4 linked regions of the Caenorhabditis elegans genome follow. The protein of the gene in region 1 interacts with the protein of each later gene in a pairwise test. Each region holds a gene or a part of one and is shown on either strand. Other genes may lie near its edges. The genes, in order: mut-16, wago-1, sas-4 and ego-1.

Region 1 (8,741 bases):
TGTCCATCATTTCTCTCAATATCATATCCATCTGTACAATCGAGTTCTTCCATTTTGTATCTGAATATTATTTTTCGATGTTTACAAATTTTTGGATTTCGTATTTGGGTAATTTTTATAGCTAACCAGCCGCAACCCTAAAATACGACTATAATACCCCGACGGCGCCAGATCCGCTTCGTACATTTAACGCTAATTCTCTTACTTCGTCTTTAACTAGGAAATTACAAGAATATACGATGAATGTACGAATGGGGGAGATTGAAAATCTTCGCAAAGTCTGTGAATGTGCTATGAAGCGATTTGCCGATAGCAAGTTAGAAGCTTTCTTCTGGATAAGAAGAAACCTCTGCTCAACTGTTATTGGACGATCTCAACATAGTCACAGATTGTATTGTTAGAATAAAAAATAAAATACTGTTAACATTGCATGACTGATCGGTTTTTTCGACGTGGAATCAGTTCTAAGCTGTTCGCTCACAAATCCCTGATACAAATTCCAATCATTTTGAAATAAAAATGCTTTAAAATTTCACTGTTCATTCCTAGATTGCAAACTTTTGGGTGACGTAGGTTCTTTGGAGACAAAGTGTCCAAAGTGACAAAGGATCCAGTAGACAAAATGGGGTGTATCTTGGGGCCAAGGATCAATGGTACCAACCTTTTTTCAACTAGTTTCTTATATGTATTTTTCAGCTAATTTTTGTTTATATTTCACTGGAAAAAGTTTTTTTAATGCACTTTCCATAGGATTTTCGGTCATAATTCGCTCAGATAAACTTGTAAATGTCCTTTCCGATCGATTTATTCACTCGATTAGTCGTTGAATGTATATGGTGAGTGAGATTATGCGATGCTCAAAATGAATTTTCAATTTTCCCGCCGATACAGAAACTAATTTTGATTAAGGAACATTGTGGTGAGTGCGCGTCTGGTCCCGACGCGAAATTAATTTTAATGCTTTGAAACTTTTTTCTAATATTTTCGTTAAAAATTAAGGTTTATAGCCTTCAAAAATTATATATGGTCTTCAATAATTTTTTATTAAAGCTTTCAAATATTTAAATCTGAAATCTTAACCAAATTTTAAAACTACATACGATTTAATTTGAAATCATACACGTGAAATGAGTGTGACCGTAGTAGAAGCGCCGCTTTGTTTGAGTTGTATTTGAAAAATGTATTTTCTCCTTTTCAACTTTTAAAACTGCGATTTACTTCACCATATTCGTTATTTCTTTTCGTTTTCAAAGTAATTATTGTTTAGCTATTCAAAAAATTACTAAAAAGCGATAAAATTCGAAACAGAAGGTGTTAATTAACATGTTAATTGATCCTTTTGTGGCCTAAAAATAAACTATTTACCGATACACTTTCATAATAGTTCTTTCGGAAAATTAAAGTACTTTTTTGTCGATCGGTTTGAGAAAATGTGCCGGTGAATTTGATTTTATATATATATTTTTCAATTTTAAAAGCCAGTTTATCGTATACAAACAAATTTCTGTTATGTTTTAATGAAGCGACTGTTCATTAGTTTAAAAAACATGCCGATTTAGATGATTTTTTAGTTTCAAAACGTTTTCTTCAATTCTAATACTTGTTTTCGATAGAAATTCAACTTTTCCTGAACGCAATGCAATCGCGCTCTATCGACGTTTCAATGAATAACCGTCAATCATCTGCTTGCCGATCGAATATTTAGAACGCGTTTTATTGCTCCTTAACATTTTTTATCATTATTTCAATTGAAAAAACCATTTAAACAGTTTTCCAATCAGTTTGTTTCAAAATTGCCTTCCAGATCGAATTTCATTTAAATCTCAAGCACTGGAAATTGAAGAACAAGCTTCCGAATTCAAAAACAAAACAAAATATTAACTGTTAAAAATCTTTATAATCTATGATTATTGTTTATTGCAGACTTATCGGCTCAAAATGAAATGAATTAACGCAACAGTGCACGACTTGAAGTTTTAGCTATTATATATATTATTGAGAGACCTTATTACAAATTTCGCTTGTTTGTCCCAGAATCGTAATACTTCCTGGAATAGAAAGTTTTCTTTAATGCCTCTAGCAAATTATCGTTTACTTCTCATTTATTGCCGTTCAAACGTTTCAACCCACTCAAATACTCGATATTTGCAGAAAATGTCCGAAAGTGATGATGATTATCCGGAATTAGACATCTCCGATCAATATATCGATCCATTGGGGATCGTTGTTGGTCCACCACCCGCCTCGTATACGGAAACTGATCGTGAAGAAACTCCCATGCAAAATCGAACTGAAGATGACACTAATAGCTATGGAAATTCATCGGGTGAACATGACTACGATAGTTATTTGGATTCAGGAGACGATGACTTTGACGTGGATGCCTACTATGCGGTAAGATTCGTGTTCGTATATTTCAATTTTATTTTCTGATTCAGAATGACAATATGGATGAACCTCCACCAGAAACGATACCGGACAATCTTATACAAAACGTCATCGGAAGAAATGATAACGCCGATTATGATTTCAGCGATGCAAGTAATCCAGAAATCATGAAGGTATTTAAATACTTATATGATCTCGTGACCTAATGGTTTAGCGTGATCTTCAGCTGTTCCTGAGCTCTTCATTGCTGAGCAATCCATTGAAATTCCGTTCTGGATACTCCTCGGATGAATTGGATGATTGTTTGAAATCTTGTATGGGATACAGTCTTCAAGTAACAGCTGTTTTATTGCTTCCTCCAGAAATTATTTCTCAGCTTCCAAACGATTCCAAGGTAAATTACAATGTGCATAGGGAGACTATAACTTAATTGTTTTCAGACCGAACACGCCCATGCACTTGTACGAGGAGGTTGGCTGCAGTCCAAAGAGGGCGCATTCTTTCCAGTCATTTCCGATTCAGAACGTGAGACTGTTGTTTCGTTGATGAATGGATCCGAAGAACAGTGCGTTTTTTTTGTCACGAAAAGCTCTGAACGACTCGAAATAAGGCACCGGCGATCAGAGAGACGCTATTACAGGCTTTTTTTGTGGAAATTTTTATGTGAATTATTGTTAAAAACAGCAATTAATTTGTTTTTTGCACTGAAACCCCGTCATAATTGCTCTCGTAAATCGATATAATTCCCTATGTTCATGGAATAATCGAATTTGAATTATTTTATTCTTGTTTTGAACATATTTTTTCAAAATCAATAGCGAAATTGCTCAAATTCCATTTTTTTTAATCGAATGACTATTGTGCCGATTCACGAGAGAAATTAAGAAAATATTTCAGTACAAAAAAAAAAAATATATAAGTTAAATATTTCTGAGCTCTCCTTGCCAAATCACCACAAAAAAAACACAGTCTCTTCGATCGGTGGTGTTTCCTCGAAATGGCGTATAAAATTTGCAGGCACAAACGCCAGGAAAGGAAGAAAAAGGAAGCAGATACATTTGAATCCGAAGAGAAGGAAATTCGTACTCTACTCACATTCAACATGATTGCGGAATTGTTAATGGCTGTCAGAAATGAATATAGCATTCGTTCAGTTAAATATCAAATTCTTTCAACTGCTTATACAAATATGGTTACTGGTGCGGCACATGCGAATATTTTTCGAAAATATAAGGATATTCTTCAACTCGATCCAGAAAAACTGTGGAATAATGATTGGTTCAAAGAGTATACAAATCGAGGAACACTGAAGAAGTTTCTAACAACTGCAAGATTTTCTGAAATTGTGGTTTCACAAGCCAACGGCAAAACTGTAGAACTCTATTTTAGAGCTGACGATGAAGGAAACCGTGAGTAACTAAAAATATTTTCGATTTATTTTCAACGTTTGTTCATTCAGGACCAGTTGTTCTTTTCACTGATGAACATATTGCGGATGTTAGGAACAAATGGAAAACCGGCAATCAGAGAAATCAGAACTACGGAAGCCAAGGCAATTATAGGGCCGGTGGACAGAGATCAGGTACATTGCATTTTTTGTGATTATCTAAAAATCTTTCTTTTCTAGATGATCGTCGTGGTCCACAACAACGCAGAAATGTAATTGTACCAGATCCGAATTATCAACCATCGACTTTTGCTGGGGGCATTTCTAACAATGCAGATGATGATGGATCGTTGGTGAGTGCGATAAAAAAAACATTCATTATTCACAAAATTCTTTGTGTGCAATATAGAAATGAAATTTATGTGATTTTCAGCAACCAACAACTTCATCGCACTTTAATCGAAATACTGATCGGTCAACATCTCGTCCTCCACGTGCACCCACTTCTCCAGTCAATCGTGTGATGGAAACAGATCCACTAATGGGCCAAGGCACTTCGTCCGGAGCCCCTCAACGATCCGCGATTCCGAATCCATTTGGTGGAGCACCAGCTCTTAGCAGAAGCACAATCACCAATGGTAACCGTGGTCCTTCATATGGAGATCGTGGTGAGCGTGTTCAAGATGTCGGTGATACGACATCAGATAGTGAAATCACTTCTGAAGGATCCTACTCTGATGAAGATCCCGAGCAAAAGGAGATTAAGCGTCAAAGAAGAAAGGATAAACTTAAAAAGAAACAGGAAAGAGAACTAAGAAGTCGTGAGAAGCACACGAAGTCTAAGCAGCAACCTCCTTCGAAAAGTACGAATTTTATCATTTCCAAAGCGGAGTTTAGTGAATGGGGATGATGCTTCGTTTTTTTTCATTTTTCTATTGTGGTATTTCTGAACTTGAGACTATTTTAAATTTTTGAACTTTCAAACACCAACGATATTCCGCCTTACAAAAATTTTCCAAAATCACCAATTTGAACTATTAAATTTATGAAAATCTATTTCAGTTGAGACTCGATTCAATACGTACAAGAAAAAATCAGAATCATCTGCTACTGACACTTCCAATACACCTCCAGTTGACACTGTGAATGTAGCTCTCCCGACTCCAGTAGTAGAATCGTCTTCTACGACCGCAGCACCGTCAATCCCTGTTTCGACACGTCCTGAAGTCGTCGTTCCACCTGAGAATCCAGCTCCACTCAGAGAAGTCGGAAATTTCTACTCTAAATCGAATCACGACGAGGATAGACGCAATGTTCAACTTCCTTTCACACCAGCGGATACGCACAAACCGATTAAAGTTGCGCCAAAAGGTATTTTAAGCAGTTTAGGACTCGTCTTAATAGCCTAAAATCAGTTTCAGAGCCTGTACGGAATCCGCTTTTGAAAGAACGACCTTCAGCCAATGGTTTCATCAACAGAAGGTTCCTAGCTTTAAAATTTAATCTTTCAATTACCAAAAAAATTATTGCAGACTGCCATCACATCCAGCACCACCACCAGTCAACCAAAGTCAACCAGCCAATCAACCAATGCAAACAGCTGTGGTAATTTCATTTTTAATAATATTTTAAGTCTAAACATTCTATCCACACTTACGTTAGAAAAAATTGTTAGAAAAATCTAATGCCTCCGTGCATTTCTGTACCACTGAAATTTCATAGTGATCCAATTTTAATGACCGTAGTCTTGAGAACTTTGACTGTGTATCTACAACAAATATTTGAAAATTTGCGAAAAATTGTTCACATGATTACATTTTCGATCTATTTTTGCTGTTTTCGAAATAGTTTTGCTTCACAGTTCGGATAAAGTTGAGAGAAATGTGAAATTATAATTTATTGAGTTCTCTGGAAGACAGAAAAAATTAACAGAAAAACTGAAAGAAAACAGTATTGTTCACGTGAACAAGAATTGGGACATTCTTTTAAAAGACTGAAGATCTTTTCCATTAATTTATTGTCCAACACAGTCAGAAACTTTTCGAAGTGATGCGTTGGGTATTTGAACCATATTTCTTTAACCATGTTCGTTTTTTTCTCAAATCCTACAAGTTTGAAGTCATAATCATTATCTTTTCAGTATCAAAACTCTCATCCGGGTGCACCATATATCCCTCAACAGCCAACATATCAGCCACAGCTTCCTGTACAACAACCTCAACCACATCAATATGCGCCTCAACCAATACATCATCAACAGTAAGGATTATACTTAAAAATTCATTCCAAAAGTTAAATAAAGAACGCTCAAATGGACCCAAATCGAATTTTTTGATAAGATTTCGCAAAAATTTCCGAAATAAAAAAACTCTTTTTCGGTTAATAAATTCATAAATTTGACAATATTTTCAAGAAATTTGATATTATTTGACCATCTTTAAAAGTAATGTAAAACAATTCGCGTAATAATTGTAGTCTTGGGGTTTTCATGCAAGCAAAAGACATATCCTTTTTTGCTAAAATTGAGAAAAAAAAACAGAAAAATTCACAAAACTAACATTTTTCAGGCCAATCCACCAACCGATGCACGGCCAACAGTATCCGCCAGTTAATCAGCAGCAACCAATCTATCAACAACCGGCACCACAGTATCCACCATACAATTCAATTCAGAACAACCCTCAACATGGTCCTTCTCCATTTAATTATTCTCAAGTGCCACAACCTGCTTATAATCACGTTGGCCAACAACCATCACATATGAGCAATCAACCTCATATCAATCAAAATGGATATCAAAATTCGTACAATCCGAATCAGGGTCCGACTTCTTCCGATCCAAATTATGGATGTAATCCACAATTCAATCATTATGGCAGTAGATCAGTTTATCATGAAGATCATTCATCACAAAGAAGAAGATCACCTGATCAGTTTCCACCAAATCCTCCAGAATACGATCCACACGGAAACTTCAAACTTGCTGATTATGAAAGAGATCGAATGACAGTCGGATACAGTCAAAATCCACATCAATTTGACCATCACGGAAGTCATATGCCTCATCAGTCACAACCACAAGGATATGACAATTTTAACGGAAATTCTGCGCCGTACTTTAATAAAAACGGAGGACAATCAAACCATCAACCGGAAGCTCAAAGATCTTTTAGTGTTCTCTCTTCGAATCGTCAGCCATCGAACAGGGAATTAATATTTCAAGATGGAATTGAGAAGGAATTGAGAGATATAATTCTCCGTTATCGAAGCATGAACTTGACAGTATTGACAGTAAGTAGTAATTTTCGTTGAAAGTTTCAATTTGTTCTACGATGTGATATTAGTAATTATATAAAAAGTATTACGAGAAAATTTGATTGACACATACGAAAAAAATCTTTAAAAATAAAGAGTATTTTCAAATCATCTCTACACTATATTTTCGTATAATTAAAACAAGCTTTTTACTTCGAAAAATGCCATGTTTTTTCTTTCAAAAAGACTTCTTGATTAGAGTAACTGTACCAATTTTATGTTAAGTTTTTTTAATGAAAAGGTTTTCGTTAAAAGTGAATTATTTTCAGGTACAAGAACTGAGAACAGAAGTGAGCAGACGTCCTGCTATTCCTCGGTACATTGATATTGTCCAATATATTAGAGATTCTTCATCGGTTGCTATAGTGGAAAGAGGTGACATTGAGCCGTATGTCGTTTTGAAAGATGATATCCGAAACTAAGAATTTACTTGTTCCTATTACTGTTCCATTTTTATTTGTATTCACCCACTCGTCTCAATTTTTTCATTTTTTCTAAACCCATGTTTTTTTTTTTTAATTTTCGTTCTTATTGACTGCCTACTGATTATTACCTGTTTTTTCATACTTGAATCGCCAAACTTTCCTAATTAATATTTTTACGAGTCCAAATTTGTGTTTTAATATTTATAAAAAGTAGAAGAACCGGGAGTCAACTGATAATAATAATACTGCACGAATATTGGTGGTGACGGTGACAATTCAAAACAGGGATACGTGTCTCTGGGAAAGGGATGAAGGGAAAACTCGGGTTGAAAATTGGAACGAAGGCACTGGATGGAGGATGAGGGATGCACGTTTTCAGTATTTGGGGGTGATTGCTTCAGAATTGGCAACTTTTTGAATCTAATTACTGTTTTCCTTTTCTTTGGAATTTCAGAAATATTAGATTCAAAAAGAGAAAATAGCTCGTATTTACAGCATAATTATACTAAAACGAATGACAAAGTGCAACTACGTAGGGGAAAAATACAAGAAAACACAAAATGACAAATTTTGCAAATTTTGGTGAAACTATTTTGGAGAAAAATGTTGTCCAAAAAAGGATACACACTACGACGGTTTTGAAACTAAAATTTTTCTTTTTTGGAAACACTAATAAGGGGCAATAATTTGATATTAAAAGATCACAATTCGGATGAGAATGATGATGATGCGATGGGGGGGGGGGGGGGGGGGACTGTGGAGAATTTAACTGGTAAAAAAGGAAAACAAAGAAGGGCAAGTGGGACAGAAAAAATCCAATTAGAAATCTGAGAGAAAATGGGAAGAGAGTGGGGAATCCTGAGTGGATATGTATTTTCATTCGAATTTATTTCGGAAAGATTTGGATTTTTATTTGGGAAAAGGCAATTATAGTACTTTTGTGATTTGAGCTACGACGACGTCTCGAACAAGAAAACAGCTACTTTGTGAATTTATGATATGACGTATTAATTAGCAAGAGCAGTGATTCAGAAGCTCGGATTGTGGTCCTTCTTCTGGTCGATACAGATCATAGATGCTTGAGAACTGAAAAATGTTATTTTTACTTTTAAATTAGGCGATTTTGAAAGAGTTTTTCAAAATAATTTTGAATTTCCAGTATATTCAGTATTCAGTCACTTTTTCTTAACAAAAACTTGCCCAATTAATTCTCATAGAAAATTTTG
Region 2 (6,898 bases), 2.8 Mb from region 1:
ATTATATCCGTCGACACTTTTGAATCTTTGCGTTTTTCAGAACAAACAACAATATATTTGATAATGCAAAGTATTTTTGAAGTGTGACATCGGCAGTTGTCTAATATGTAGTACCCGTACACAAAAACCTTTAAACATTTCAAAATTTCACCGACATATTTTTTCAACAATATTAGGACTAGAAAAAAGTGGTTCTGTAAGTCTAAAAATGCAACGAAACTTTAGATTTAATTACAATTTTTGAATAAAAATATGCGAAAATTCGAAGGGGGGTTACTGTACAAATATACTAAATATATAAGTACCGCAACTTATAGGATTTTAGGTTCAGATTTAAACATTGTATCTTAATATGAAGTATAAAGCAATTGTAATACGGGAACAAAAAATTCTGAGAATGCGTATTGCACAACATATTTGACGCGCAAAATATCACTTAGCGAAAACTCCTGTAATTCTTTAAATTACAACTGTAGCGCTTGTGTCGATTTACGGGCTCGATTTTTGAAATGAATTTCTTTTCGAATAGTGACAACGATATTTTGTAGCTTTTAAGTTTTCTTCTAATATTTGATCGATTATTTATTAAATGATGTCCGTAAGCGCTACAGTAGTCATTTAAAGAATTACTGTAGTTTTCGCTACGAGATATTTTGCGCGCCAAGTATGTTGTGCAATACGCATTCTCAAAATTTTGTGTTCCCATAATAGCATTTCGTACATGGTTGGAAGAAGGTTTCCGCACGCTCATTTTATCGTCTTAATTTTTGAAGGCGGCCAATGCAAAAAAAAAAAAATAATCTAAAAATGTTTGATTCTTGTATTCAGACATATTCTCTCAATGGCACAACATTAACCACAATCTATTACAGAGGGCGAATTGTATGGGCTCACGGAAAACTTCAAACAGTTCCCGGATCTGGGAAATTTATTCCCCTTCTTGCGAATTCACCATTCGTTTTTTCAACTCACGAGAAAAGGGAACAGAAAATTCAACCAAGGATAGTTGAAAGGCTTGAATGAAATTGCTTTTTTATTTATTACTTTTCTTGTTCTGATTAACTTTCGAATTACCATTTTGAGTTAAAAACGTGAATAAATTGTTTGTTCAATATTGAGATTACAACCAAAAAGTAATATTTAGTCGACTAGTCAATTGACTTGGAAGCAGCTCTAGAAATGTTTAATGTTCCAATTTCAAAAAAAAATCGAACAAAATTCCCCCTCATTATCAGACAATCTTCGTTTTCACTTGAAGATCCTCAAAAAACATCGCCTCGAACTTTTACGCACAAAGCAAATCTTTGAAAAATATTATCAGCCTAAAACTTTTATCATACCGAGTTTAATTACTACGGGTCACACAGAACCACATTACAAAAATATAAAACATTTGACTAAAAAATTACAATAAAACTAGCGGAAAAACCGTAAAATTATTATCCTAGGTGACCGTAAAATTATTATCCTAGGTAAAACATCAAGTGTATGTGGCATAGCTCCAAATCTATGCATTGACGCGCTTCTGATTGAGATCGGTTTGTTTGTAGCCGATTTCCTTTGTAAGTTCCTTGAGGCGCTCGCCTTGCGACTCCTTTGCTTCAATTGGTCCTTTAGTCCTGCAAAATATAAATAAATTTTTGTTTTAAACAAAAAAAACCTACGTTAGTTCACCCCAGAGATCTCTTCCACGCTTTGCATACTCATTTGCCACATAAAGTGGAGTGGGAATCGACGTGCTCAGGGAAACAATTTGGTGATGATGACACAAAGTGAAGGTCAGCTCCTCCAGGCGGTCCATTGGAGCTTTGCAGTCGTCAGCAAGAACAGTGTACAATGGTGTCTTTGCTGTTCCTTGAAGAGTCGTGTGACCGTTCAGGAAGAACTGCTTACATGCCGGATTCGTGACAGCGTTATCCAAGACAATGCCCGGAGGAATATTCATTTCAGTGGCTTTGCCGCCCGAACGAAGCTGAAAAGTTAGCGTAAAGAGAATAATAAAACAAATTTACCTGATCACGGAAGAATCGGTAACTGTGCTCCTTAGTGACGACGATGAAAATCAATTTGATTTCTTTCGAGTAACCATGGATAATAGCTCGGGCTAATGGGATTTCATAAGCCAGAATAGAAGCGTGAGAACCCTCCGATGCACCACTTCTATAAATGATGATTCTTTTTGGCAACGCTTTGCGGTTCTTTTCGAACAAATCGATTGAATTTTGCAACACGTCTTCAATTGATGCCATTGTCTGTAAAAATTACCATGTTGTTAACTCGAACACATTAATTATTTACGTCCTGTCCGGAGGGAGCCAAAACGAAATCGCCGACAAACTCGTGATTTGCAACAGCATTTGAAGCGAAGCCAATGATTTGTGGATTAAGATGTCCCTTGTTATCCATCATGTACTTCGTTCCAGCCGGTGGTGCGGAAACGCCAACTCCGATGATCAATTGTTCGTCGGTCATGCTCTTCTTTGCATCCGAAACAGTGTAGTTAAGACCACCTAACTTCACGTTAGTTTTGTTGATGATGTTCTCCAACGTCAATCTCTTCCCATCTTTGACAACGGCATTGGCTTTGGAAATTTTCATATCCTGGACGATCATCATTGTTCTCTGTTCCAAGGCTTTGTACTGCTCTGAAATTTTCAATGAACCATGAAAACTTAAGGAAAACTTACTGTGGAGGTGAACGATTGCGTCATCAGTGATCATCAAGACATACTTGCACTTACTCGCAGCCACTTTTTCCAGCTGAGTCATAATTTTTTCCGTACTGTAAAGTCCTGTTTCACATGGTGGCTTGATCACCATGCCTTTCTTCTTGCAAGAATCAATGAACATTCCGACGAGTTGGCTTAAGAATTGAATTGATTCATGTAAATTTCTATTTGTCTTACTTGACATCTCCAATGGAGAATCTGCAACCTGGATTTCCAACAGCGTAAGCAGCCCACAAATCAGGAACAGTCGCAGGCTTCACAAACCATCCTGGAGGCGCACGCCATTTTCCCATATCCGACATTACCGATCTCTGGTATACAAGTTCTTTTCCATCAAGCTCACGTGCTTGGACCTGGAAAAAGAAAACAAATATATTTTTTTACAATTTACACAAACTAACCATCAGAGGCTCCGAGTAAACCTTGATTCCAAGAGCGACGAGCAACTCGTTTTCGAGTGTAATGTTGACAGCATTTTTACCAGTGATGATCATTCGCTGACGGACATCCGGAAGAACCGCGCACTCCTTCGTTGTCTTTTGAGATTGATTTCCCGTTTGCTGAGGAATGGTGACACGTTGATTTCTGGACACAGTCATCAGTTCAGCCGGGAAGTAATTGTTGTTGCCTCGATCCTTACAAACCACCAAATTGGCGTTCGGATACTGTAGACTGATCTTGTATTTGTCCGCATAGTACTCGGCGATTGAACAAGTTTTTCCATCGGGCAACTCAAATCTGGTCTTTGTGGCACTTTCGTGAAAGATACCTTCGATTCTTAGATGGCGCTTTCTGTTGGTATAAGTCGAATAGCAATCAAGTCCTTTAATCACTGCCGCAGCCTTCTCACGGGTCATATTATTGAGTCCATTTGAAGGATCTTGTCCCGTGATGTCGAACAGTTTTTGGATCACAGTTTGCTCTTTGTGGAAAGCAGCTTTCATACCATCAATCACGAGAGATGGATTGTTCTGTCCGCGACCATAAGGACCCTCGATGAATTGAATCGTCTTCTTGAGGCCAGGATAAAGTTGTTTTCCGTCTCCTACGTCGACACAGTCTCGTTGATCGAATCCTTCTTCGGTGGCGTTGAGGAAATATACTTTTCCGTGCTCGAAGCATCCGAAACGATTTCTAAAATGAAGCGATGCTTTTAATAATTTTCGAAATTCACTTACGTTTCTCTCACGCAATGTTGATTCAGAGCAAGTTCCAAGAATTGAGTGTATTCTCGATTGTTTACTTCAATGTTTTGATCCGCAGTACGCTTGCCCAGATTTTCAGAAGAGAGCGTGATAGAGTTGTCCCTTGGGGCATAAATCTCGAGAGAAATGCAAGGCAGGGTCTTAAGGTCGTCATTGCCGGTATCAGCTCCGTTGATTTGGAAGACTTTGGACTTCGTACCGTTGGCATCCAGTTCTGAGAACAAGTTGACCGTCGTGTAGAGAGTTGATTGACCGTCATATACAATCTGATTCCCATCCTTCATTTTGAAGAATTCCGGGTTCTTCTCAACCGCAAGGAAAAAGATGTTGCAACACTTATCGCGACGATCCTGAACGACGAAGTCCTCCTTTCCTTTTTTAGTGAAAGTCACTTCCTTTGTTGAAGTCAAATCGGCCTTTGCGTGAACCATAAAACGATGAACTGTGGTTTCCTTTGTGACTTCAATTCCGAAGACATTGGTTTGGATGTCCACTGGTCTGCCCATTTTTCCAGGTTCGGTTGGCTTCATGTACATTTTCGCACCATCCTCAACCTGCAAATATGGCATTAGAAAGATCTTTGAATGCTGATAAACATACGTTTAACTGTTGTAAACGCTTGATGCATGCGTCGTTGCCAGTGCTTTGGTGAAGCTTTTGAGCATCGGCTGGAACTGGAGGCATTGGAGTCATAGCTCCTGGTGGAGCAGTGACTGGTGGCATTGGAGGCATCGGTGGATGCGGTTGTGGTGGATGAGGAGACATCTTATTACTATTGCAATATTAGTTCTGAAAAAAGCTTATATAAATAATATTCTGCACCGAATAAGCGAGATTGGAGAACATCTATAGAAAATTATGAATTTGTGAGATATTTAACAATAGTTTAAACAAATAAATCAGTTTTCTTCAAGAGATCAATCTAGAACGAAAATGGTACGTTATGAAGAAAGGGCAAACTACGGAATTTTCGTATTGCCGACGAAAAAGAATAATGATTCGAGATTTTTCGGTGTTTCAGAGGCGGCATAAAAACAAATAACGACTAGATTTGTACAAAATCATCATTATTAATGACGCAAGAATACAGAATCCGATAATTGGCGGCTAGATCAAATGTAGATCACTTTTACATTTTTAAGATTCAACGAGCAAGTTTCTTAAGATTTTGTAACTAGATTATTATTAAAATATAAAAATAATCTTGAAAATTAACAAAAATTATTGAAAACTGTCACAAACCGGAAAAGAATACAAAAAACAATTTCTTCGTCCTAAAAAATTTAAATGACAACGCATACAGTACATAAGAATGGAGATCGCTGCGAGACCCACTCAGTGTTAAAACGAACGCTCCTTGAATTTATTTTTGCTGTACAGCCTTATTTTTCTCCTTTTTACAAGTATTGTGTGCTTTCCATGTTTTAAAAAGTGACTTAGTTGTTAATTTTATTTTGAATGATACTCATCTAATTCAGGCTTGTAGCTTAGATCGCAATGAAGTTAATCGTTTGCAACCTATGTGGATTCCCGCCAGCAAGAAGGCAATTTTACATCACCACCTGCTCTCACATCTTGTCGAACAACGCAGACTGCTGGATTTTGTTATTTGTGTAAGGTCCCTACGAAAACTCTTAAAATAGATGGAAATCTGCCGAAAATGTGCGGAAAATGTTCAGCGCTGTACATCCCGATTCGCGACGTGACTGTAAAAAGTACAGATATTCTCAAACGTCTCACCAGAATTATTGGTTTTTAAAGTATTCAGAATTCAATTTATTAGGAAAACGAAAAATAAAAGGTAATTTTTTGCACTTGTTTCATGCAGAAGAAAAAGTTTTATTTCAGTCGGTGATGCTAAAAGATCAAACGGCGAAAACAGAGAAAAGGACACAGGAAATCACATGCCAACTGTCGAAGCTAGCCAATTTTGAGGAAAATAATCGAAAGAAGCTTCAAGATACTGAACGCGAGAACAAGAAGCTTCGAAATTTGTAAGTAGTTTCTGCACGAGATTAAATTTAACATTTTTTTTCTATTTTAGAATCAATTCCCTTGAACTGAAACTTGTCAGTTCTCCTGTTATCGACAATAACGATTTTTTTATTCAAGGAAAATCTACCTCTTCAAATCCTTTTTTTTTTAATCTCGGAAAATGACGAATTGCTCGAACGTGTATTTCACTTCCATTGTGCCACCTTCACCAAATTGTCAGACTTCCAACTTCTTTTTTTTCCAACACCAATGTATGTTGCAAATGAGTACGCGAAGAGTGGTCGTAATTTGTGGAATGAAGCCATGTGAGTTTAAGAAAATGACAACAGTTGATATTAAAATATTTTTGCAGCATTGCGGATGCAATTCCCGAAGTTTCTGGACCAGAGGCAGCTCGTATGAAGCAGATTACCGATAGCATCAAATACAAGGAATCCGGCTTCCTGATCGACCGTCGTGTCAATGCTTCAGCACTAATAATTCAATCAAATTGTAGTATTTTCAATTCCAACTTCTAGTTTGTGAGAAGCATACCATGATTTTTTATTTGTATCCCACCCTGTCATTCTTGTTTTTGCGTTACATACAATGCGTATCTAATAGTAAGTGGTGTAACTGCTAATTTCATTTTCCCCCGTTGCCCTATTATTGTTTTGACCTACGTGGAAATTGATTTTTTGTTGTTGTTGTTGAGTGCAGATTATAGAATGTAGCCTGTTGTTATGTTAAGTTGTACGTGCAATGTTGTTGTAGTCTCCTTAAACCCATAAAAATCATAAAACTTATTTCAGTTTTAAGTTTGAAAAATCGGGATCACCAAAATAATATTTCTTTCGCTTTTTTGGTTTTGAACAAAGTTTTAGATTGGGAAAATTTTCAAAAAACCAATACATGGAAATTTTATTTTTTTTGTTTTTTTGTTATGGAATACCAGTGTTCTCCGTAGAGCGCACTTTCATTTATATTTTC
Region 3 (7,753 bases), on another chromosome or scaffold:
ATAATATTTTTATTTGAAAAAAATCTTGGCGCTTCATTGGAAAAAGATATTTAGCGGTCCATAGATCTACACGAGCTACAGTAACCTGCTGTGGCGAGGTATATTTATTTGTGCATGAATTCTGGGCGGCTTTCACTTTAAAATCTGGATATATTGAAAATTAATATTTTTCAGGTCGGAGATGAAATGGATTTTTCATTACAATGTGATGCATGCAAGAAAGTAAGATTGTTTTACAAAATGCAGGTTTTTGAAAGATCAAACCAATTATTCCAGTTAATCATTGGGTTAAACAATTTGGATCGTTTTGATTGTGGGCACTTCTACTGTCTGGTGTGTAGTCCACTTCAGCCAAAAGGTAACAGAAATTGATCAGAAATCTGATAAAAAGAGTTCAATCTTTCAGAAAACCACTCGTCTTGTGCCACTTCGACATCTCCGTCAAATGCTTTTACGCGTGAAGTCTCACCGCAACAAATTGCTGAGCATACTGGAGAATTGTCGAATAATGGAGCTGAACGTGGAAAGATTCGAGGAAGTACTCGTGCTACTCGGAAAGGATCTGTGAACAAATCAAAAAGTGGAAGGACTCGTCGACATAAGAAGGTTCCGGATCAACGTCTTTGGTACTTTTTGTACCTTTCAAAGCCAGTCGTTGTCAGCCTTCCAACGGATGCCACTTATCGTAAGCTTAAGAATCTAAGATTTTTAAACAATTATATCGTTCAGACGATCTGATGGCTCGACTCTACACGCTTCTTGGTGTCAGCGGTAAGACCCATATGATTACTCTGAGAACTCAGAAATCATCGAGTGAAGAAGGCGAAGGCGAGTTTTCTGGTCGAGGTGACCCGGTTAGTTTTTTGATATTCTGAATATAAAAAGATAAGGATGATTGTAGGCTCCTCTTGAAGTCGGCGATTCGAAAACTCGTCTCAGTGATCTAAAGATTACACGTCACAAGATGCTGCTCCTGGATGTAGATGATCAGAAGAAAGATGGAAGTGGTGAGGAGAAGAAAGAGAAGAAAAGTGCGGAAAAAGAAAAGAAAATCTCACACGAAAATGTTCAAAGTTTGAGTCCGTCGAGTCGTGCAGAAGATCCGAGATCATCTTGAAATGTCTCCAGTGTTCCAATAAATCTTTGCAATCTGAATCCCGAATTTTGTGCAGAACATTTAAAGTTAAAATTGTTTATAACAGTCAATAAAATAACCATGAAGATCAATATGAAAGAAATGGGGGAGGGGGCAAGTGAAAATTGAGATAGTAAAAAATGATTGAATTATTTGATATGATTTTACAGGAGGTAGAATTAATTATAATTTTAGAGCACTCAGGAGTGAAAAATAATGTCAATGGAATAGATATACAAACCACAAGTTAAAATAAAGGGGTTGGAATTTCTCATTTTTTCCACTGGAACAAAGTTGTTTTCCGACGTTTATCGCCTATCATCTCTGCAGTTTCCAATGTACCTTCACACGTGGAAAGATTCACTTCAAGTCTCAATGTTTTCTCGCTGCATTCAGGTCGTCCAATGATCTTGAGAATATACTGATTGTTGAGACCAGTCGGATCTCCCTGATACCAACGAAGACGGAATTCTGGCTCAACGAGCTCAAAATCGTTGTAATCAGTGACGAGAACGTAGCGACATTGATTGTCGCGATATGTGTGTGTACCGGGATTGTATCTGAAAATTTGATAGGTTTCAGAGGCAAAAATATTTATAACGGGGTTTTAAACCTGTTTTACTAACTTTTTGAAGAATTGAGGTCATATTCCTAAATTTTGGGTTAGACAAAAATTATAGAAACATGTTTTGTTTGAAAATATATTATTTGCTAAAATATCGTTATACTTATTTGAGTTTTTTTAATGAATAAATTAAAATTCATCGAAAAACTAACTAAGGAAAATCGATGAAAATTCTGTTTCAAATTGAGTTTGAAATTACAGTACTCTTTGAAGGCGCCAAATTTTACAATTTTTTCGTTAAAGGACAGATTTTTAAATGTGAAAATACGTGCGCCTATAAAGACTGTTGTAGTTTGGTTTATTTATCTTTTTTCTAAACTAATAAACATGTTTTTATCAAAAAAAAAAGGGGCAAACAACAATTCGACAGTAACGCGATTTTTAAACTACAGTAATATTTAAAGGCGCACGCCTTTTCCCATTTAACTAAATTTTATCGTGCCGAGACATTTTTTGCCGCAAAATGTCACATCTCTTTTTTTATTTTTGTTTCGTTTTATTTATGTAATTTATTTATGTAACCACTTGTGATGGTTTGTATCTATTAATGTGTGTGTGTTTTTTTTTCTACCTAACGATATCTTCTATCGTAATAAATTAAATTAAATTAAATTAAACATCTGGGTAATAGTTTTGAGATTTTAATGGTTTTTCTGAATAATTAATTGGAAAATGAATAGAGACTCACTTTCTCGAAACTTCTTGATTGCTAAAATCCTTCGTAACATATCTTCCGTCCCTATTGAAGCTGAAATACGAAATTTCCGATGAACTTTAAAAAAGAAAATAATCTTACATTTCAGTTTTATACATTCCGTTTTGATAAATCAAATCAGTTCGAACTTCTCGTCGTTTAATACTTATCAATGTTATGTTATTTCCAGGACGAAGTACTTCAACTTGCCTTTGAAATGTATGAATAATTGAAATATTGTATGTGGGGAGATCAATTCTGACTGTTTTATCAACTGCGGATATGTAGATCTGTAAATTGGTCACTTTAATTGACAAAATTCCAATTAAAACTTACATTAACAGCGTTCTGCCGATTAACCCATCGAAGATCTCCATTGGAATATTCGAAAAGAAGACCGTTAGCTATTGTATCCGTCACTTTAGATGTTTCTCCAAGAGAATCTCTGTAGATCGTGCATTTTCCAAATTTTCCCGGCATTTCTTTGACTGGCATCTTCAAAAAGCATGATTTAAAATTTTTTTTTGACAATTTTCGGTAACTCGAAAACTATTGATTTTTAATTCTGGGAATTTTGAAAAATCGGAACTTTCGGCAAATGCTAATAGTAAGCTGTAAATTTTTAGACTTAAAAAACTATTTTTCAAAAATATTAATTTTTTAGTCGGGAAGAAAAAATAATTTGAAATTTTTTTTGAATTGATTTTTTCAGAGCAATATTCTAAAAACAATTTTAAAAAAACCCTGCTTTGATCTAAATATTACCATCAAAAACTCCTGTGGTACAGCTTCCAATGATTGTTCATTTGGTTCATCTGCCCAACTAACACCTCTTTCTCGATTTGATGTAGATGGTTTTCTAAATGTTGTCAACGAAGATGATGATGGATGTCTAGATGGACCATTTGATGTTATCGAAATTGGAACACTTTGATTCAAAACTGGTGGCACTGGATTCGAAGTTTTTCGATTCATTGCAACCTTCGCGAACATCTCCTTTTCTTTATCGTCGCGTTCTTTTTCAGTACGTAATTGTTTTACGCGCTTTTCTAAAGTCTGTAGAGTGCTCTTTAGCCGGTTTCCGTCTTTCTGAAGCTTCTCGATTTCCTCGTCTTTTTTCTTGAGCTTTTCGTCTCGAACACGTATATCCTGTCGATATTGTGCATTCTTGGTTTCTGATGCTCTTAATTTGTCGCGGAGAGTGGCTATCTGAAATTTGACAAGTTTTGCTGGATTTTAAATTAAAGGTTTTATAATAGAATTTCAACTTTTTAAATTCTCAATTTATTTCAATGAAAATTTTAGATTTTGCTTTGAGAAAAATTTTCAATCGAAATTTCGTGGTTTTTCTCGAATAACTATTTCTTGCTTAAATTCTTAATTACCGTTTCTGTGAATTCTTTATTCCTTTCTCCCGTTCCTTTCTTCAATATCTTCTGATCTCGTTCAAGATCTCGTTGATCCCTCTTCAATTTCTCGTAAAGTTCATCATAATCTTCCTTAATTTTCTCAAACTTCTTCTCAAATTCTTCCTCAACTCCTTTTTTGCATTTCTTAAATTCTTCTATCAGTTCTTTCTTAAAATTATTGACTTCGGAAATTTTTTCTTCGAGCTGTCGTTTTGTGGTGTGCACGGATTCTTCTGCATAATCCAAGTGAGCAATAGTGTCTCTCAGTTGTATGTTCAAGTTACGATGACGTCGAATTTCAATTTCAAGTTTCTGTCGGTCCAGTGATGATCCAGGAACATGTATTGGTTGATCATAAACGTGCTCGGGTCGATTTTCATCTTGAACATTTCCATTCTGTGGATTCTGTCGTGATGAGTTCATCATATCATTTCGTCTCAATGGGGCGGTCACAGTAGGTCTTTCATGGTGTTGTAAAAGGCTTATTCCCGTTTGAGCCTCACTTCGAACTAAAAATCTAATCAATCATGTTTTTTTTGTTATTAACCTACCAAGCTGATTAATTCTATTGCTGCCAAGCGGTCGAGCCTGTGGTGTTTCCAGAGAAATTCCTGATAATTCTTGCATTGAAGACGGCCAATTGTGATTATTTGGGCCAACGCCTAAATCGTTCATAATTGGTGTAGACCGAGTAGGAGGCTCAGAGGAGTTTGATGGTGCACAAGATGATGGCGTTGCCAGTGATGTTGTGATTGTTGAAGCTGATCTCATCTTTAATTTTAATTAATTAAATTTTGAATTAGAGAGTATTCGTAGGTTTTGATTTTTGATACGTAAATCTATTCTATGTAAAATTTCAATTATCATTCTGATTTGGCTGTTCTTACCGAATCCATTCTTCTCTCAAAAGCTTTGAATTCGGCAGCTGCATTTTTATACTTTAAAGCATCATCAGACAATTCATGATCTGAATTAACAAGAGTCGAAGGTTCATCAGGCACAAAAGAAGGCATTGCAGATACTTCATCCGTGTCATTGTCTTCTTCTTCTTCAGCGTGCTGTCCACTGTGGCCATGCTCTTCAGCAACGGAAGGTGCGGGATTTAGACGATTTTCCGGCGAAGATGACAATGATGGTTGATCCATTGGAAGAGATGCGGTGGTTGGTGGACGGGTCTCGTCTTCATTTGATATTCCACTGTCCACGGTTCGGGCAGAGTTCGGGAGAGCATTCTGGAATAATTCTACTTAATATTTATATTTAACTAGTCACCACAGTTTTATAACGTTTGTATTTAAGATATTTTACTTACCGACAGACTAAACCTAGGAACATTAATAGAAGGACTTGAAGCAGATGAAAGTTCCGACGTTGGAGGTGCACCAGCAGATGTTTTGTTGTTTCTAGGCTGAACTTCATATATTATTTCGATAAGCCTTGTATTTGCACAAACTACCATTCTAAATCTTGCTGTTCCTTGTCCTTTTCTCAAAAACGGCCGAGAAGGCTTCTGTTCACCGTCGGCACCGATATTTTCATCGGAAGCCATCTGAAGGCTGAAAAGGTTTTTAATAAATAATTGAATTATATTTCAGAAAATAAAGTATACTATCGGTAAGAAACGAAGAAACGATAAAACTATCGATTTTTAAAAACACAACAATTTCATTTCAACAAAAAAAATCTGAAAATATAAAAGACAAAACAATTAGTTCATTTCTTCTCCTTTTTCTCCTTATCCACTCTTTTCTGTATCCTCTCGAGAAGTACATCCATTTGAGCATTCAGATTTGGTTGTCCTTTTTTATTTCTTTTTGCCAATGCCTGATTCATCTTCTTTCTTGATTTATTTGTCGCTGCAATCGTCTCATTTCGCTTTTCTCGTTCGGCTCGCTCTCGTTGTTTCTCCTCTTCTTTTTCTTGCTTCAGACGAAGATATACGTCTTGTGCTTGTGAAAAGCTCATTTTCTTTTGCTTTTTCCTAAAAATGTTGATGATTTCAGATATATTAGTTTTGAAAATAGGAAAGAAAACTTACGATTTAACTTTTTTGGGTGGTTGCGATGCCACGGCAGTTGCATTGTCTGTCTTTGATCGATTTCCCATCTGAATAAACGATTGAGATTTCTAAGAAGAGATTATGTGAAATTATAAAAGCGTTTTGAAGGGATTAAGGTGGTAAACGGTATAATAACCACAGCGGGGGGTAACGAGAGAGCGTGCAAGACGAAGATGACGCAGACAATTCCCGCCGTCGTGCTAGGGAAAATGCTAGTCCACGGCCATCACAATTCTAGGCCATTTTCAAAGAAAACGGAGGGAGGTTCAAAATTTAATTGTTTTTGTTGAGAAAAAGAGAATTAATTCGAATTGTCCCTCATCATCCGCGCTCGTGACATGAATTTCGAAAATATAATTTATGCCAGTAATGAGTATCAAAATAATATTTACATGAAATGAATTGAGCAAGAGTAAATATCACAGTTCACATAATATTTTTGATTCCTATAAAATGTTTCATATTTGATAAAAACAATGATACAAGTTTTTTCACATCGATTTGAAGAAGATTGGAAATTCAAATATGTTGGAAGGATTATTGAAGTGTGAACGCAATTGTAGCATGTAAAAGGCATAAAAGTATTGAAGATCCCTGAAAATATCGATTTTTAAACAATCGTTGATTGGTAAACCCACAGATGACAGTAACCACTGATCAGTCCATTGAACTTGATTTACTTCAATGGAAAAATGAATTTCTATTACAGAACTAATACCACCAAGTAGAGAACAAAGTACTGCAGATGGCATTTCCTTTAATTTCAATATTTATTTTATTCCTCCTTCCTATAAAACTTACCATAAAATTGAATGTAAGAACACATGAACTACTTGAATAATATATTGCAATTATTAACCAAGAAAACGATATTACCATTATAATCGGAGCTGCTATCACCGGAAAGTACTGAAAGTTATGTCATTTCTTTATGGTACCAAATTGTATGATACCTGTAGTAAGTGCCGAGTACTTCCCCATCGAAATTCCTTCTCAACGACACAGTCATAATTTTTGCAGTAAAGAAGATTCCAGTATAATAAAGAGCAGGAAATAATCTAGAATTATAGGTGTAAACTTGAATTTTCTATTGATTGGTAATTCTTACGATGGAAACAGTGTAGAGGTACAGTGGTAGGCGTGTCCGAGGATATGGAGAACTTATTATTTTTGGTATCACTGTGACCATCCTGAACACATTATTATTATTGTAAGAAGAAAAAAGAAGAAATGAGTTAAATAAGGATGTCAATGGGTAGATACTTGCAGATAACTATTTGTAAAATATAATTTTATAAGTTATAAGTAACGGCCTTGATCGTTTAAAGGATACCGTTTATTTTCAAATGAAACTATTCCCAGAATATCTATTTCAAGAGTATCTGGATTGTCTTAATGAAATTTTCAAACTGGTCGTATTTTGCTAGTTAAACAAATTGATAGAAACTATTCTCGCCAAAATGCCAAATTATCATAGATATATAATTTTTTTAATTGAAATTTTATTGTTCACTGTCAAAAAATATCAGTCCTTATCATAATTTTGGAGGATTCTCTATTAAAAATGAACAAATTATTTCTACGAGTTTTTTTTCGGATTAAAAAAACTAACAACTTTCTAGAAATTAGATTTACATTTATGCTCAAAATTGCTGGGAAAGCCCACATTTTCTTAGAATTTGGCAATTTACCAAAAAGTTGACTGAAAGTTTTGAAACATCTAAAATTTATTTAGGTTTTAGGTTTGAATTACTATTATCCAAAGAATTTTACGTTTTTTTAAACGCAAAGTACCGTATTTCCTCGTCGAAAATCGCAAAATTTCGAATCT
Region 4 (8,904 bases), 2.4 Mb from region 1:
TTGCCATCGATCAATTGGATATTTAAATTTTTACTGTTATACAACTAAAAATAACTATAAATTAGGTTCTCATTAACCTTCACTTTGAAATTTACAAAAACATTTTTTGAAAGTTAACAACCCGCTGAAATGCAAAAATCGGTTCACTGAAAAAGACGCTGCCCGTCGGAGACGCAGACAGCTGAAAAAGACACTGTGGTGACAATGCAACAGTGAGCAAGTATCGTGATTATTATTCCGTAATTTTATTTACGGAAACTCATTTAAAACTATTTTCTAATAATAAAGAAATTTAATTTCATCTCGGAAAATTGAGCACCTTTAAAAAGTTGTATATTTAAAATGTTTTAAAATTTTTCTGATCAAAAACAACTGCATTTCAAAAATGTTGATTTCAGTCGAGAAGGAAAAAAGTTCGATAGTTTGGTCCAAAATTCAAACAAAATCGACAGCATTTCAATTTTTCAAGAAATCTGGCTATATTCTATCCAATAGGAAAATCATGTACGAAAAAACGCATATAACAAATAAAATACAAATATCGGATTCGTAATAAAACAGACAATTCATTGAAACAGATAACCGAAACGCTGAAAACGATGAAAAGAAGGAGAAACCTATCCATTTCAATCAATCAGCAAAAGAAACAACAGGAAAATATAATGAGAAAAAGAAACAGAAATAAGCATGCCAATTAAAACATGCAAAAAAAAAACAGAAAAATAAAATTTAAAATGAAAACCATATTAAACATTTAAAATCTCTGAAAACACTGCTAAAAACGAATAAGAGAAACATTCTAGATGTTGATGTGTCCTCTGACAATCTTTTCATAGCACAATCGAGCCATCTGTGTAGACACATCTTGTCCCGTTACGTACGTTTTGATGGGAACTTTTACAGCAACCAGTTGACGCAACTTGTACATTGACTCGAGAGTTCCACGTGTAGAAACCAGAAGACGCACTATAATAATTTGAAAATTAAATCTGTTTACCATTCGATTTTGTTAACTCACTATTGATTTTTTGCACATCATCCGAAGAGCGAACTGATTTCTCCATGTTTCGCATGAATATCTCTTTTACACCAGTATGCTCTACCAGCTTGCGATGAACCAATGAACGATCACAATTGGCTGGTAATTCAATCACGAACGGTTCGTTTTCTCGAATTATTGAACGAACTGTAGTTGTTGGATCAGTTGACACAGGAAGTTCTTCGAATCGTAAATTGAATAACACGTTGTAGTAGGTTTTGAGTGCGGCCAAATGGAAAATTTGCCATTCTCCTCGCATGAAAATTGATGAGAAATCAAGAGCACAGAATGAGAGATTCGCCATTTTTCGGAACTTTCGCGAGGCCAAAAATTCGAGAAACTTCACCATCTGAAAACAGTCATTATTATAAAAAAAATAACACAAATATTCTTCTCACCATCTGACTTTTTCCTTTTTCCTCAATATATAAACTGGGCTCAAAGTCTCCAATTGTTTTACTCTGCTTGTAACTTTTCTCATCGACCTTATTGAAGAACTTGGCAGCATTTCCATCAACGGAAGAAAATTGCCTTGTAGCAAACAGGATAAATAGCAGTGATAAATGATATTCTCGAAGTGATTGATTTTCAAATAGATTTGAAATCCGTGCCCATTCGTCTAACATGAATAAGACTGCATCCAATCCTGGATAAGTTTCTGTGTACATTTTGATGATTCTATGAGCTCGTTTCACTTGTTCTCCACTAGTTTTAGGTGTTGAAAATTGTCGAAAAGCTTCGAATTTTCTCGAGTTATCGACAAGATACTGAGATCTGTGGTCGTCAAGCATTGTGTACAATGGATTTGCTCCACCCATCTTAACTTCGTCACTTGTAAGACTTTTGTCTTGTTTCACTTTTGCGATGACGTCATATGCGAGCCAAGCGAACGACAATTTCTTGTTTTCTCGAGTTATTCGAGCTTCCTCTGAAATTAAAATAGTATTTATTTTTATTTCAAGTTATCCAACTAACCATAGCAAGCTCTGTACCAAGCTACGGCCTTTTTCATCATCTGCACTGTCGGAGCACGACATTGTCGTTGAAGAATATTACTATCACGTCCGTAACGAGAGAATGCTTCTGTGTTACCTTCCCAGCCGCCTTCGAATTCCTGAAATTACGCATGTACACATATGTAACTGGCTTAGGAAAGCTTTACTTCAAAAAATATCTCTCGGTATTTCTTGAACAAATTTGTCAATTTCGTCTCGATCATCTGGTTTGTGTTGAAGAATGACATATCATCTTGATCCTTATCCGAAATTCTGTTTCGCATGTCAACAATGCATCCTGAGAAGACTTCACCTTCTGTTTTGATTCCATAGTTTTCCATCATTGACTGAAAAAACATGGTCATCTTTCAACTATTTCTCCTAAAACTCACTCTCAACTGAGCATTATATCTTGCTAAATCGTTTTTTGCACTAGCCATATATTCCGTATATCCATCAATTTTGATAGTTTCATCTATAGAAATCTCCACTTGCTCGTCTCGTTCTTCCGAAATTTTGAGTACATCATCAATTGCTTTGAACTCGCGAAACAGTTTTCCACACAATCTTGGACTGACATACATTGGAGTATGGTCATTTCCCATGTGATAATCAGGTACTCTTTCAGCTCTTTCAGGTGGAATCATTTCGCCAGTTTCTTCATCTTTTCTCCATTTCCTTTCAAGTTCATCAGGTGGTTGTCCAGACTTAGTGAAGTCCACAGCTTGACAATTTTTCTTCGCCAAATCCATGCAAACTCTTGCGTTTAATCCATATTGGTCAGAATTGTGAAGATGACTATTCGAGATTTGTCCAACGGAATCCAATTTCAAGTACTTGACATAGAACTCACGCATCAAGTCATCCTGAAAATATTATTTATTGCGACTAGAATTAAATATATTTATGTAATCTCGTTAAAACGAAACTCACGATTTCATCTTCTTTAAAGCTCGCCTTCTGTTTCTCTGAAGTGAAATCATATGGATCTTCATTTTTGTCCAGAAGCAACTGTTGATCCCAAATGATAGAATATTCATCTCCATCCAAATCAGATCCAGCCATTTCATCAGGATGAGGCCTCGGTCCATGTTGTGGGAATACTACTACATCACACATGTGATGAAGTTCTGGAATATCGACAGCCTCGAAAATCCGAACATCTCCGGCAACAATGCATGGATTTTTGGTCAAGAGAACCGTTCCTGTAAGAACTTGTCGCGCAGCGTTTTTGGGTGGAAGTTTCAGGGCCAGATTTTTGGTATACTGTACGAAGATTTGACCATATTGAAGACGCCCAGTCTCGTCAACGACTCCAAGCATTGACCGTCCGAGATCACACGGAATGGGAATTTGTTCTTTTCGGAGTTGTCTGGCTGTAACAAATATGGTTTGTTTAAAAAGCTTCATTCGTTTAAACTTACTGATTGAGAACTTGATCGATGCTTTGATAAGAGATCGGAAAAATGGTTCGCTAGACAATGTGAATCCCCATGTTGTTCTCAAGTAGTCAATATCTACGCGACGAGGTAGCTCCTGAATAATAACAGTAATGAGGATACTATCAGTAATTTAATAACAAACCTTCAGTCGATTTCTGCAAAAAGTTTCATCCACCATTTGTTGGGCAAAAGAAAGCATTTGTCTGTCCAGTAACTCTTCGATTCGATTTGTTACTCTTCGATGACATTCCAAGGATTGCATTTCCGAAACTTGATCGAGAATATTGATGAATGGCTTGTTTAATGCCACTGGAACTGGCGATGAGTACTTGACGATTTCCACTTGATCACGTGGGTGTCTCTTTGAAATAAATTTAATTTGACTTGGGCGAAACATACAGTTCAAGCTCCACGAACTGTCATCGCTCGGTTTGCTGATATTATACGAAATTGACCACTGGCGAAGATTGTCAAGAAGAGGTTCGATTGAGATGACTCCTTTCATTCCACGGAAACGAAACTGAAAAAAACTATTAAGAAACACCAAAGAAAAGATTATGGTACCTGAAAGCAGCTGGGAACACCTTTTCCAAAATCCATAACTTCTGAGACCATTTGAGCAAATCGATAACTCATCATTCCAACTCCATCAGAAAACGTGTATTCATCTCCTTTCAAATTTTTTCCTCCAGTCAAATCGTACGTTGTCATATACGTGCATCTTTCCAAATTCACTCCTGACAATCTGCTTTGTGTAAAACACTGTCCAAGACGAGCCATCATTTTTGGAATGTTGTCAATAGTCTCGAATCGTCCCAAATTCTTTCGAGCAGCTTGGATCTTTGGATTGAAAGTGATTGGTGGTTTGATTTGATATATCCGTTCGTATTCTCTGCACTGTGATGATGAATATTTTTCCATGAAGTAAGCACCGTTATCTCTCATTTGTGAGTTCGAGCTTCCTAAATAGCCGAAATTACGACCAGCAACAGTAATTCCATTTTTGAGATATTGATTGACGGTTTTTTCAAGCATAGTCGAAGTTTTATTCGTTCGCATTTTCTGATTATCATCATCTCGGAAAGTGATTCTTAGAACTCTTGTTCCATCATGGTCGTATCGTCGCAGTACTCGATTTCCCATCAACGTCTCCGGTGCCACATAGATAACACGAGTCGGTGTGAAAATAATCTTTCGAACTCTTTGATATCCCTCTCTCATTTCTTCAGTTGTTAATCCATTAACCAGACTGTTTCTCTGTCTCGTTTGACAAATTCTATCGAAACACTTGATCAATGATCCAATTCGTTTTCTACCATCGATCATGTGAACCAAATCCTCAAGTCCGGCCTCACAAAGTTTGTCATCTTTCGTGTAGTAGTGGAGAATCACTTCAAGGAATCGGTGCCATATTCCTTCATCAAGCAAAATTTGATCCTTAACCACTGCTCCTCTCGAAATCAGACATTCCAGGAGATAAGTGATGGCGAATTTTCTTTCCCTGTTGGTGTCAACTTCTCGAGAGCCACATACTTCATGTTTCTTTGGAAATGCGGTCGTGATGAAATCTCTGTAAATAGGCGCAGAGAAATGAGTGGGCGACAGATGTTGATTATTTAGGAATGTCCAACGGTTATAAGGATTCTCTCTCCAAATGAGACAGTCAATCGAAGGAATGTCCGCGAATTCAATGGAAACTCCAGTACGGATGCGAAGTCTTGAAAGTAAGCGGTAGATTTCATTGAGCTGGAATAATTACACGTAAAAACTTGATGCATATTGAATTATTACCCCAACAGATTGATCAAACTCGATTGTGAACACAGGACTATCCGTTATTGCTTTAGCTGTTGGATACTGATTCGCGCTTCGTCCACGATTGATCACCAAATATCTTCGATAATGTGGGACGGAGTGCCGATTTTCCTGAAAATTGTAATTAACATCTTATTTCGATATTTCATAATCGCGAAATTTCATGGTTTACGGCTTGGGTGTGCTCACCGATTCCTGTTTTGCCGTTCGGTAGGCTCTTCTAATGAGAACAGGACAATTAAGTTCGAAATGTACACGAATCCGATCCGAACCATTACAATCTTGAACGACAGGATCAACAATAATCCGACGAATAGAAGTTCTCCTAACCTGAAAGTTTTTGTTATGATTTTTATTCCCAATTCTATTGAAAACATACTGTAATCTGGTAATACATGGTAACTGTTTGTTTGGTCCTCTTCGCATCTTTATCAGCAACCTCAAAATCATTTTCAAAGTGCTTGAAGTGAACTGTCATAAAATCAATTTTATCGAATTCGAACTCCACTTTGATTTGGTTCATTCCAATTTTATCGGCTTGTGTTGGTTCAGTATTCCTCGTTCTTGCCGACTTCCGACGTCTAACGTCATCCCAGAAAGACACTTCCCAATGATTAATGAATGTTCCGCCTTGAATATTTCCAAAGAAAACAGCGGCAAGCGGAATATCAACCAAATGACATGTCAATTCGGAAGACCAAAAATCGGAACTGTGAAGAACGAGATTTCCACGTTGGAATGGCATAAGATGATCCTGGAAAAGTACGAATACGATAGAAAGTTTCGACAGCAACAAACCGTTGATAAATCTTTTAAATATGTCTGGATCGCCGCAATTAGATCATGTGAAAACCTGCTGGTCGCAACTTCATAATTTGTTTCATAAAACGGCTCACAATCTTGCTCTTCGACAACCTGAACCTGTCCTTTTGTCAAAACCTTGATGTTGTATTCATTCAATGCCTAAAACAAAAAAAATGATTGATGAACACATTGTCTAACTTACTGGCTCTAATTTTGCTACATGGCATTTAACTATGGGTCCCATTTGCCGCTCTGGCAGAGAACAGGGAATTTCGAGTTTAATCCATCCACGATAACCTTCGTCCCCCATTGTTGCGAGGATTCGGGATAATTTTTGATATATCTTAGGCTAAAATCGTTTTGAGGTAGATGGTCTGTAAGAAAAATATTACAATTTCAACATTTTAGACCATGGTTACACGGATTTTAAATTTTTAGATAAAAAAAGAGATTTTCTGGTTAGAATTGCAGCGTTAAAAATATTCGATTTTTTAAAATTACGTTTCACTAGACTAAAGCATCATGAATCATATAAAATAAATGAGAAAACAGAAATATTTGGGCATTTGGGATGAAAATTGATTCAAATTCGAAAAACGTTTCTGGCGCGCTATCGTATCTGCCCTGTTCGTTGCGAGACTTGTAGTTCACAACGATTTAAGCTCCTTTGAAGGCAGCGGCATTTTGAAATCGAATTTCGAATTATTAACCTTCTTCTTCGCAGTTTTTAGCTATGAGCGAGAAACAAATAAGAAAAAAGTGGCACGCGTTATAGTTCAAAAATTTCGTTGTCGCGGTGAGACAAGGGCTGTTGTCTTTTGGGCTTTGGTTTTTTTGGCAAAAATGGGAGAAAAAACTTTCACAAGTTAATTTTTAGTCGGGACGAGGAATTCGATTTTTTTGTATTTTTATTAGTCCAAAGTCCGAATAGTTTTTAAATAATCTGCATCTCCAATTTTTCTAATGATTATTTTACGAGAACTTGTGTTTGAATGGAAATTCGCAACATGAAGATAAAATTAATAAATCTCAAAATTTATTTACATGGCACCGGAAACTACAGATTTCGACCCGTATTTCTGATATAATTGAGAGAGGAATAGAATAACATTTGAAAAGAAATTGAAATTGAACAACTAAAGCACTGACCCGTTTCAGGGAAAAAAAGTGGTAATTGCGCCTAATTGGTGTGCATGGTGGGAGGTGGAAAGGGAGGAAAACAGAAAAAAAACAAGAAAATATGATATGAAATATGGAAAATAATGATAATCAGCAAACAGCTTCAGCCATTTCCATCACAGGTTCAAGCACTGGACGGAATTTAGATTTGAATCCAGAATTTCGGCGTTCTCGTGGCTCATCTGGGATCATATTTGGATCTTGCTCCGGGCTCTGAAAATTAAAAGGGTCAATTTCTGTAGTTTGAAATATGATTTGTAAACTTACAGCTGGTCTAGCTGGAATTGCAATATTAAGATAAACATCGGGAAGTAATTGTTCTGGTTGAGCTTCATCTCTCACCAATCGAACAGAACCAGCATTTTCTTTGACGTTCTGTAAGATACAAATTATAAACTTTGGACCTAATGATAAGAAAATAAGAATGATCAAACTAGATTTTGAGTGTTTATGTCTTTAACTTTCAGTTACATACCTGTTCATAAGCAATAAGTTGGCGCCAGAAACCAAGATTTGGACGAACCATTGAACGCTTTGATTTCATCAAATGATAAGCTTCACGAAGATTTCGGCAACTGGAAATAGATCAAAAATCAATATGTGCATTCTATTTTAGTTCATGGGAAAACATCAGATTCATTAGTTTTTGTTTTCCGGCACGTGCTCTCTTCCCATTTATTGGATACTTATGATATCACATGAAAGCACATGTCCAATAGAATTTATAATAGGGGAAAGCACTGAGTTTCTGGACTATTTTTGGTTCTAACTAAAACAAGATGACATACCGATATTTGAGCAAGAAAGCCAAACAGATGGAAGCAGAACGTGACACTCCGGCGACACAGTGCACGAGAACTTTTCCCCCATCAGCAATGAGTGCTTGAATCTGATCAGATTGAAGTTCAAGATGTGGATAGATATATGTCTGTGGAGTATCTTCAAGCCAAAGTTTTGTACGTTGAATGTCTCCAAGACTTCTGAGATTTGGAACTTCTGTTGTTGCATTTATGATATGTGTGATCTTATGTTTCTTCATTTCATCTTTGCTCAACGCAGAAACTCCACAGATAAATAATCCCGGAACGATTTCTGACATGGCCGCATATTCTGGATTTACACGGAAAGACAGTGTCATTTTGTAGTGTATCTGTAATCATATTAAATTTGATTCGAGTACCAAGAGGTTATCAATGAGAAAAAAGAAATTGAAACGAGGGGGCACGTGACAACAGGGAATGATGTTGAGAGATGTATTGAGATAAGAAGATTGTGATAAGAGTGTGAACTTTGGGAGAATTAAGTGTTTCGGATGAAATGAAATGGAAGGAGAACGAAGAGAAAACATGTGGTTAAAATTGATAATGGAGAAGGAACGATATTTATATTTCGTTTTTACCTTTTTGGGGAAACATTTTGAACTCAAAATTTGCAAAGTTGTGAAAGTATGTACGGTAAAAAGTTTACCTGATGAGGCCTATACCTACTTTCCTAAAGTGTGCCTAGGAAATCACTTCGAGCTTTGACCAAAGATTTGACATAAAAAATCAAGAAAGAGAAACCAAAAAGGAGAAGCACCCAAAGAAGGGGAAAAAAAAGAAAAAAAAACAAAGATCATCGCGGAGAGATT

The links.
Region 2: the proteins of mut-16 (region 1) and wago-1 interact in a two-hybrid assay, tested with the Caenorhabditis elegans proteins (one study listed by BioGRID).
Region 3: the proteins of mut-16 (region 1) and sas-4 interact in a two-hybrid assay, tested with the Caenorhabditis elegans proteins (one study listed by BioGRID).
Region 4: the proteins of mut-16 (region 1) and ego-1 interact in a two-hybrid assay, tested with the Caenorhabditis elegans proteins (one study listed by BioGRID).

What each region holds. Positions count from the first base shown.
Region 1 is NC_003279.8:10,078,008-10,086,748, forward strand, and holds mut-16 (MUTator), read left to right. Parts: upstream 1-2,151; 5' UTR 2,152-2,154; coding exon 2,155-2,394; intron 2,395-2,438; coding exon 2,439-2,561; intron 2,562-2,602; coding exon 2,603-2,782; intron 2,783-2,828; coding exon 2,829-2,953; intron 2,954-3,405; coding exon 3,406-3,797; intron 3,798-3,847; coding exon 3,848-3,970; intron 3,971-4,015; coding exon 4,016-4,128; intron 4,129-4,208; coding exon 4,209-4,638; intron 4,639-4,837; coding exon 4,838-5,146; intron 5,147-5,196; coding exon 5,197-5,257; intron 5,258-5,307; coding exon 5,308-5,380; intron 5,381-5,915; coding exon 5,916-6,034; intron 6,035-6,342; coding exon 6,343-7,066; intron 7,067-7,359; coding exon 7,360-7,512; 3' UTR 7,513-7,701; downstream 7,702-8,741. Other genes in the region: scpl-1 (CTD small phosphatase-like protein 1), read right to left, coding at 8,527-8,601.
Region 2 is NC_003279.8:7,233,209-7,240,106, reverse strand, and holds wago-1 (Argonaute protein wago-1), read right to left. Parts: upstream 4,724-6,898; 5' UTR 4,700-4,723; coding exon 4,535-4,699; intron 4,489-4,534; coding exon 3,908-4,488; intron 3,864-3,907; coding exon 3,131-3,863; intron 3,083-3,130; coding exon 2,907-3,082; intron 2,864-2,906; coding exon 2,688-2,863; intron 2,646-2,687; coding exon 2,299-2,645; intron 2,253-2,298; coding exon 2,013-2,252; intron 1,973-2,012; coding exon 1,665-1,972; intron 1,620-1,664; coding exon 1,508-1,619; 3' UTR 1,315-1,507; downstream 1-1,314. Other genes in the region: dhp-1 (Dihydropyrimidinase 1), read left to right, coding at 873-1,023; R06C7.2 (BEN domain-containing protein), read left to right, coding at 5,606-5,928, 5,979-6,003, 6,047-6,234, 6,282-6,447. UniProt on the Caenorhabditis elegans protein: Argonaute protein which is involved in the endogenous small interfering RNA (endo-siRNA) pathway. Interacts with secondary 22G-RNAs, which are RNA-dependent RNA polymerase-derived endo-siRNAs, typically 22 nucleotides in length with a 5'guanosine residue.
Region 3 is NC_003281.10:8,313,170-8,320,922, forward strand, and holds sas-4 (Spindle assembly abnormal protein 4), read right to left. Parts: upstream 5,420-7,753; 5' UTR 5,413-5,419; coding exon 5,320-5,412; intron 5,272-5,319; coding exon 5,176-5,271; intron 5,096-5,175; coding exon 4,751-5,095; intron 4,635-4,750; coding exon 4,415-4,634; intron 4,373-4,414; coding exon 3,840-4,372; intron 3,664-3,839; coding exon 3,220-3,663; intron 2,950-3,219; coding exon 2,791-2,949; intron 2,745-2,790; coding exon 2,557-2,744; intron 2,509-2,556; coding exon 2,449-2,508; intron 1,696-2,448; coding exon 1,407-1,695; 3' UTR 1,180-1,406; downstream 1-1,179. Other genes in the region: F10E9.2 (uncharacterized protein), read left to right, coding at 175-222, 277-358, 407-685, 730-854, 902-1,117; F10E9.11 (rRNA-processing protein FYV7), read right to left, coding at 5,577-5,844, 5,902-5,969; F10E9.10 (uncharacterized protein), read right to left, coding at 6,460-6,516, 6,561-6,677, 6,724-6,831, 6,876-6,980, 7,031-7,111. UniProt on the Caenorhabditis elegans protein: Required for centrosome duplication. Plays a central role in determining centrosome size.
Region 4 is NC_003279.8:7,649,868-7,658,771, forward strand, and holds ego-1 (RNA-directed RNA polymerase), read right to left. Parts: upstream 6,472-8,904; 5' UTR 6,406-6,471; coding exon 6,298-6,405; intron 6,255-6,297; coding exon 6,090-6,254; intron 6,046-6,089; coding exon 5,671-6,045; intron 5,622-5,670; coding exon 5,481-5,621; intron 5,403-5,480; coding exon 5,268-5,402; intron 5,223-5,267; coding exon 4,041-5,222; intron 3,997-4,040; coding exon 3,619-3,996; intron 3,571-3,618; coding exon 3,459-3,570; intron 3,411-3,458; coding exon 2,968-3,410; intron 2,901-2,967; coding exon 2,427-2,900; intron 2,382-2,426; coding exon 2,202-2,381; intron 2,154-2,201; coding exon 2,015-2,153; intron 1,968-2,014; coding exon 1,438-1,967; intron 1,389-1,437; coding exon 1,019-1,388; intron 967-1,018; coding exon 800-966; 3' UTR 474-799; downstream 1-473. Other genes in the region: F26A3.4 (Protein-tyrosine-phosphatase), read right to left, coding at 7,365-7,487, 7,542-7,649, 7,750-7,849, 8,063-8,412.